2 linked regions of the Drosophila melanogaster genome follow. The protein of the gene in region 2 interacts with the protein of the main gene of each other region in a pairwise test. Each region holds a gene or a part of one and is shown on either strand. Other genes may lie near its edges.

Region 1 (3,225 bases), on a different chromosome or scaffold from region 2:
CATGAATTTCTCTCTATATATTTGCCTTTTGCTGTGTGTGGCTTTGAGCCAAGTTAGGGGTAACTGTTCAGGCGAATGTCCGGATACGGAGGAAGTTGTTTGGGCTCTTGGAGGAGGTTGCAATGTTTTCCGGAATAAGTGTTATTTCGACAAGGAGAACTGCCATCGAAAGCCAGGTGAGCAGTTTCTTATTACAACTTAATAAGAATTAATCAAACGAATATTATGTTGATTATATAAAAGCCTTGACCATAACGACAAAGAGGGAGTGTCAGAAGCAATGCGCCGACATTTGTACAGCCATCTACCAGCCCACAACTGGAATCTACAAGGGCGAAGTCCTAAACTTTGGTAACGAATGTGAAAAACGGGCTCACACCTGTCGTACTGGCCAGAGTGAGTTAAACTACATGTTTAGATATTACAGTTGACTTATTTCCCTTTATTCAATTTTACAGCTTTTTTGTAAGCCACGCAGAATGTTTTAAGCGTGAACGAAAGTAAATGAACTTTTACACCTAAATCTATTAGTTGTTTTTATCTATTAGGGCTCTTTGGGGCCTCAAGCATGAAACCAAATATCGAAGTCGTGTTTGCGTAACAAACAGCCAACAAGTCACGTAGAAATCAAGCGAGTGCGCTGAATAATATAAAAGTGTTTTAGTCACACCCAGTTTAAAAGATATGGTAAAAAACTATTGTTTAATAATAATAATTTTTAAAATTCGCTTTAACATAATATTATAAATATGTAATCCGTATAAATTTCATTTTGTTTGTGTTATATAAAAATGTACATTTATATAATATATGGCTCAGTATAAATATTATTCATCCTATTAATGGAATAGCACATATTTCGTATCTTATTATATTATATTAAATATTATTTAAACTAATTAAAGATAGAAAAGCGTAACTCCATGCATGTCCAATATAATTCACTAAAATTATCCACTTCTGTTGACCACGTGACGTTTGCTTTGGGGTTTTAGAGTTACAATTACCTAACTTCAATTAACTAATATAATTACAACAGAATAATACAGTAGCTTAATTACTTACATATTATTTGTGAAGTCCGCGAGATAGATTTAGTAGCACTTTGTAAACAAATAAATCTAAATAGATATATATCTTCTTCAGTGATCCCTTTCTTAACAGGAACTTAACATTTTATTTTAATATGAAACGTGAATAAAAAGCTGAAGAAATATGGTCACAATTCCAGTTTATGAGATTATTTATATTTTGGGTCACACATTTTAAAATAAGTTTTAGGTACATAACAGTTAAAACACTTGTATACCTAACATTAGTCGTTTCCAAGTAATCACACCTGTTAAATACACACATTGTAAAATAGTTTACTTTTAATATTCCGTGACTCTAAACTACACGTCCAGTCACACAGTCTTTACTAGAATCAGTTGAGAATTATAGGGCAAAATCAAAATAAAAATATTAAAAGACCATTATATTTAAGACCATTTGTAAAGATGTAAGCATGCGAATGGGTTCAGTCAACTCGGGTTGACCTGAGGGTTTAGAATTCAGAGCTCTAGGTAAAGAAACTCCCGAGTTGAACGTTCCTAGCCTGCATATACCACAAGGTTGTGATTTATGCCCTGCTTGAGAGTATTTATATTATTTAATTAGCTGCCCACTAGTGATGCTATTGCGGTGCTTATCTTTTAATTAATTTCTAATTAAAATGGGTTTCTTATTAAGTTTAAATTATTGGACTCGGTTTCTATTGTGCTCTGGGTATAAAACCGAAAAGGTTCCTGTGAATCAGCATCAGTTGAAGAAAATATGGCTCTGCGTTTCGTTTTCTTGCTGAGTGCTTGGATGGTCCTTGCCCAAGGATCCTTTCTGCGCAGATCGGATATTATTATCTTAGAAGCGAAGGTTCCCCAGAAAGGATATCTGCCTGTCGAAGATGCTTCAGTGCATCAAATCGTTCCTAACGAGTCATTGTCTGCAGGAAAAGAACATCAACATCAACGAGTACATCTGTATCAATTTCAATCGCATCCTCACGAGCACGGACCCCATTATCACCTAGAAGGGCACCATCACCTATCTGAGCCCCACCATCATCATCAGTTGTCTGAATCGCATGATCCTATCCACGGATCCCCTCAGCACCACTATCATGGTTCACATCCTAACCAACAACTCGAGGCACCATTTCAAGAAGTTCATGGATCCCACCATCAGCATCCAATCCACCACAACCATCTGGAGGCACCATATCACGGAACTCATGGTGTTCATCATCATCGCAACTGCCACGCCACCATCCATTGCCCCAGGGTTCATAGTCCAGCTTATGCCACCGATGGTCATCTCTGCTACAGGGTGGAGAACTCCTGCGCACTGGCCGTTTTGAACTGCCTGCGTCGCAATGAACTTAAGCCAGGTTGGTTATAAACATATCTAAAACATTTTCACAAATGATATTATTGTTTAATTGCAGTTTTGAGACACATCGGTCATCACGAATGCCATCGTCTGCCCAGCGCTTACAGGGCCCACTAATTCTAAGCTCAAGATAACTAAATATAAATATAAATATTTATATAAATATAGATATAAATATCTAATATAATATCCTAAGTTGTATTGTTTTCTTTTTCTGAAATATAATATTGTCAAATGAAATAATTTTGTTGTTGTCGGTGTTGTGTGTACTATTTACATAAATCTGGTTGTCCTATGTATGATAATCTTATGCATAAACCTATATTCGGAAGCCTAGATCTTTTAAATCTTTAAAGATAGAAGGTATTTAAAGATATGGTATCATTTACCATATATATAAAACAAAAAAGGCTAGCCTCCCCTCAGGTCCTCCTCATATTAATATCAGGGCCATTTTATGCCAATCGAAACAACTGTAACTTATTAAATAGATAACAAATTAAAATGCATTACAAAACAATCAATATTAAATGCCTTAGTAGATTTTCTCGACTATTAGATACCCATTACTCGTTGCCATTTAAGAATAAACGCCTTAGTCGATTTTCTCGACTATTAGATACCCATCAGTCGTTGAAGTCTGGCTTCAGATATAGATCCTATTCTGCATACATAATGGACGGACGGACGGAAATGTTGGCACGATCAACAAAATATATACTACAAAATGATTGAAAATTTGCTGTTTTAAACTAATCTAGTATTGTTTTGTGGTACATTAAATATTCGAATTTATCA
Region 2 (4,945 bases):
CGCCTATAACCAAAGTGGTCCACTCTAAAGGATTCAGGCTGTTGGTAGTGGGTAAAACGTGTGTGTTGATGCCACTCTAAAATGGAAAATCATTGAAATGAAACCTCGACAATTATGAAATGATCGGAGAAACTCACCCAACCACCATTCTCGTTAATCCACGGAACCAGCTCATCTTCGATCACCTCGGAAACGCTCTCCATCAACTTGGGCAAGTATTCCGGATGTCCTTGGCGTACACAATCAACGGACAGCCCACCGGCGATGGCGAACAGAGAGATCACCTTGCTCCACGTAATCTCCACCCGGAAGAGCTCGCGACCAACGGCTCCCAAAAGCAAGCTCACAGCATCCGGAGTATGGAACTCACCACCCGGATTCCGGCAAATCTGACGAGCTACTCCGTTGTATATCCGGGGATGCATGCGCTCCAGTTCATCGCCCAGCTTGGGCAAAGGTGTGTAAAATGATTAATATAATAAAATAAAGCGTTATTTTTTGCTTACCACTTGGACCGCTGGAAACACATCGCGCACAATGCCCATGGAGGTGGAGCCCAGTATGCTACGTATGCGCTGCAGTCCCAGCTTTTTGTTGAACAAACCAGATCTTCTGAGGCGTCTCTTGATATAATGACCGCACAGGCAACGACCCTTCGGTTTTTTTATGATTTTTGGAATCAGGCGATATTATATGTTTGTGCAAGGAATTCCTCGTCTACCAGCTCACCTGAGAAATGATATCCTGCGCTGGAATCTGTGCCGCCTTCCAGCCAATCGTGTAGGAGAGTTTCCTGGTGACGGCATCGCTGACATTACTCAACCTACGCCTCGTGGTCTCCTTGGGACCACCACCAACCTCCAGTAGTGATGCGGAATGTAGTGTGGCTGGAAAACTGAACTTTCTTCGATTCTGGGCCTGCAAGAGGCGCTCACTTTGTGTGGTGGCCATCGGAAATCCGTTGCTGAAATTATCGTTATTCGTGGGATACGAGGTGCCGGGCATGTTTCGCGCAACCGATATCGTTCGAGATCCTGAGGGAAATCGCCTATAAGTATGGCAAGAGGTGGCGAGACTTAAGTCATATATCAACTGGCTGAGGATCCAGTTTAAGTTTCTAACAATCCCCCCCACGAAGATTGGAAAATGGAGTGTGTTGTTAATTTAATAAATTGCATTCAATTTGGCAAATCTTCCGCTGGGAATCGTAGCCAGCTGAATGGAAAACCAGTCATTCAGTCGCACAGTTACATCAAAAATAATTGGCTCACTATATAAATGTCATGTTTAGCTGATTGAAAGACCATAAACGTGGCTCAAAAACATATATAATATATCATAAAAGATATGCGTTATTATTATAACGAACATTTAGATGGATTCTTTATAAGCCATTATATTTTGATCTGAATAAACCTGTTTAGTTCTTGTATATTGATCGAACATTTGATATTAACTAACTATGATTTCCCAAAAATGTGCTTAGGAACAATGTTTCCCCCTGTTTAGTTTCCATTATGACGCTCTGCGATGACTGTTTGTTTGAGCCTGCCCAAAATGGGCACATTAACGGACAGATTGTCGGCTCGTTAGGTTTGATTGGCTTCTGGCTAACAGCGATCAGAAATCCGCAATATGGCCAAAATGCTGCTGTGTCGCAGCTGTTGTCATTAGTTGTCCACAAGCGAGATGTCAAATGGCAAGTGATTTGTGGGACAATCTGACTGGAGCTGGTGGTGCGGCAAGTGAATCGAAGATGCAACTTTGGAACTTGGCTACTTATTCCCCGGAGAGCACTTCGCAATTAGCTTTACATAACCTGACCCACTCAAGACCCATTCGTGACCATGGAAAGTCTGTTGAGTACATCGAAGTCGTGTGGCATTTTTTTTTTTTTTGGGGACCCGACCATTAAAAGTGATAGCTGAGAAAGTGTGAGGTTCCAGAATAATTTGGCCTTAAATTAATCCAGGCCATAGGAGTCACGCCCAAACGCCTCAGCTTATAAAAACCATATCACTTGCGGCCCAATCAGTCAGTTATTGGTCAATATGTCAACCAAGCGGATCATAGCCCTATTTGGATTGCTAACTATCCACCAGACCCACGCGGATGTGTCGCATTTCTTCGCTTCGCCATTGGAACACTACGGAAACTATCTGCATGGCCAAGTGCCATTCCAAGTGGGACTATCGCCTTCGAACCTGTATGGACCTCCGCCTGCTGCTCCCATAACTCCTGCCCCAGTGGCTCCTGTGGCCACCACCGAGTTTAGTCTGCCGGAGATCATTGAAAATCGCAGTGTGAAGATTCAGGGATCGGGACATGGCAACTTTATACCTCTGAGTCAGCACTATCTACCGCCAGCTGTGGACGAGCGTCCCAACTACGAAAGCCCCAAACCAAGGTGGGTTACCAATCTCAAAGATACATAGTTCAGATCCTAACGATCCTATCTATAACTATAGCCTTTTTAAGATACATTTTTTGCCAAACCATTTAAACCCGCATCATTTTTTAAAGCGAGGAGTCTTATCCAGCTTACTACTATCCCCAACCTGGAGGAAGCATCATAACCACCTCCACACCCACCACTACCACTACTTCGAGACCCATAATTGTACAAGATCCTGGAGACGATGTTGAGACGATACATTCGCCAGGCTACGACTATCATGCCCCAGTGGCTGTTCCAGTATTCCCCCAAAAACCATCCACTCCTGCTCCCGTTTACCTGCCACCCAGTGATGGAAACCAGGATCAAAATCAACTGAGACTGCGGCTAAAGGACATGCGTTGCCTTTCGGCGGGTTACTTTCGAGCTGTTCTCAAGTTGGACAGCTTTTTGGGTGCAGCACCGACTGTGGACCAGGACAATGATGATCAGCAGGATAAACGCTGTGAATTGAGGCTGTCTCGAAGTTTTCTGCTCTTGGACATTTCTGGCGAGAATTTTGAGCGGTGTGGTGTGAGATCCTGTGGCCAGGATCTTTGTCTGCGTTTGCGATTCCCCGCCATCAGAGGGTTAAGAACCAGCGGAGATTCGATCTTAACCCTACACTGCAAGGCTCAAGAGCGAGTGGCTGTCAAAACGCATGCCCTGAAAATGGGCGTGGCCAATGATGTGTAGGATAGGATTTCTATTAGAGATTGGATGTTTTTGAAATCTAAAATTTCCTCTTTCAGACAAGCTCGCAGTGGAGGTAGCTACGCCCATGGAGGCGATCAAAATGCTTTCCGCACCCACGTGGAGTTGCTGAGAAAAGGAAGCACTGGATACACGCGTCATTTGGAAAACAACGGTGCCGTCCAGTTGGGCGAAGAGCTCCTTCTAAGAGCCCACGTTCTGGCCGGAGATGGTATGTCACCTTACGATTAAATGCCTAAAGGCTTAAAAGATATGGCCTTGTATCTTTCCAGGCTGGAACTACACCAAACTCAGTGATGTTCAGCTCCAGAGGATTGCAACCGGTGGAGAGATCCTTAACACGGTTCAGTTGGTCAGTTCGAGGGGCTGTCTAAATCCCGCCATGCAGGCTATCTGCGCCCATCCACCCATTCTGGAACCTCCGCTTGGCCAGAGACTGCACTTCAAGGCGGTCATGTTCCCTGGGATGCGAAGTGGGGAGGTTCTGGTCATATCCATGCGCATCACTGGCTGCTTGGAACGCGAGGATTGCCAGGTGACGGCCCAAGATTGTTTGCCATCGGTGGGCCAACGGAGGCGACGGAACGTTTCGCACGGCAATAGCACCGAAGTCTCGGAACTCTCGCATCTCACCTTCCGCGTGCTGATGCCCGGTGAAGAGGATGTGTCTCCAAAGGATCGGGATATTGAGATTGGAGATTCCGGTATCAGGGAGACATCCAAATCTTTAGCTCTCTTTGGAAGTTTGGGATTTGTGGTGATGCTAATGGGTGTTGCTGTTGTGGCATTGTATAAATTTGGAAAATAGTTCAATTTGAATCTTAATTTCTTTCCATTATTTCTAACTACATGAATATACCCCTTTTAAGACAGAAATCCTTATCTAATTTGTGTATAAGTGGTTTCCCTGCTTACCCATCCATTAAAAGCAGTCACAAAACGCCATCAATAGCAATCGTATCTGTATCTGAGGCGCCAATCTTGAAGTGACTTTTATCTATCTGGCTGCCAAGTAAATTGACTTATCGCCACTGCGAAATCAACAACGAGCCAATGTTTGCCCATTTCGAGATTAAAACAGAAATTAGCACTTAATAAAATGTAATTTATGTTCATGTCGCCAGTGATTGAGCGGACCTGAGAATAAAATCTTAAAAAAAAAAACAAAAAACAAGTGTACGATAGATAGCTCAAAAAGCCAGTAGGCAAACCGATTTCCAAACTGCGCGCTTAGTTCGCAAATTGCAATCTGTGATTTAGTTATGGCCAGATAGTTGTGGCCTAAACCGAAATTTTATCACGTTTTCACGCTTCGAGCGCGGCTAATGAAACCTCGTTCACAGTCGATTTCGGTTTTTGGCTTTGTTATTTGGTGCAATTTGTTGACGGTTTTCGTATATGATAATCCATCCATCTGGCTGGCTGACAGTTGGCGCTTAATGGGCATGAAAATCGCAGCCAATTAGCCGTTGATTTCAGCCGCTTTTGCTCGATGGGTGGCCAAAAGTCTAGAGTTACAAGTTAATTACCCATTGGGGCTTCAGGAGATACATACATACATAGGTATTTCGGAATTTGTTTGCTAGCTGGGTGGCATTGTGATAAAATGGTCATCGTGAGATTCTTCTAACTTAAATAGTTGAAAAAAAATAAATAAATAAACAAAGACTTTGTTGTGTGATTTTTTATATTTAAATATTCTATTACTACTTCCGTAACTTTTAACTAGTTCAAATACATTTCATTTGCAGTTTTTCGTGGCTGCCAAATGAAATTTGTTGCGCATTATATAAGCGA

Evidence for each region.
Region 1: the proteins of CG13196 (region 2) and CG5866 interact in a two-hybrid assay, tested with the Drosophila melanogaster proteins (one large-scale study listed by BioGRID).

What each region holds. Positions count from the first base shown.
Region 1 is NT_033777.3:17,413,931-17,417,155, forward strand, and holds CG5866 (uncharacterized protein), read left to right. Parts: upstream 1-1,808; 5' UTR 1,809-1,815; coding exon 1,816-2,425; intron 2,426-2,482; coding exon 2,483-2,544; 3' UTR 2,545-2,575; downstream 2,576-3,225. Other genes in the region: CG42822 (uncharacterized protein), read left to right, coding at 2-176, 244-396, 459-469.
Region 2 is NT_033778.4:11,683,521-11,688,465, reverse strand, and holds CG13196 (uncharacterized protein), read left to right. Parts: upstream 1-2,031; 5' UTR 2,032-2,051; coding exon 2,052-2,407; intron 2,408-2,523; coding exon 2,524-3,126; intron 3,127-3,186; coding exon 3,187-3,359; intron 3,360-3,420; coding exon 3,421-3,956; 3' UTR 3,957-4,301; downstream 4,302-4,945. Other genes in the region: buffy, read right to left, coding at 1-76, 138-446, 507-653, 730-1,005.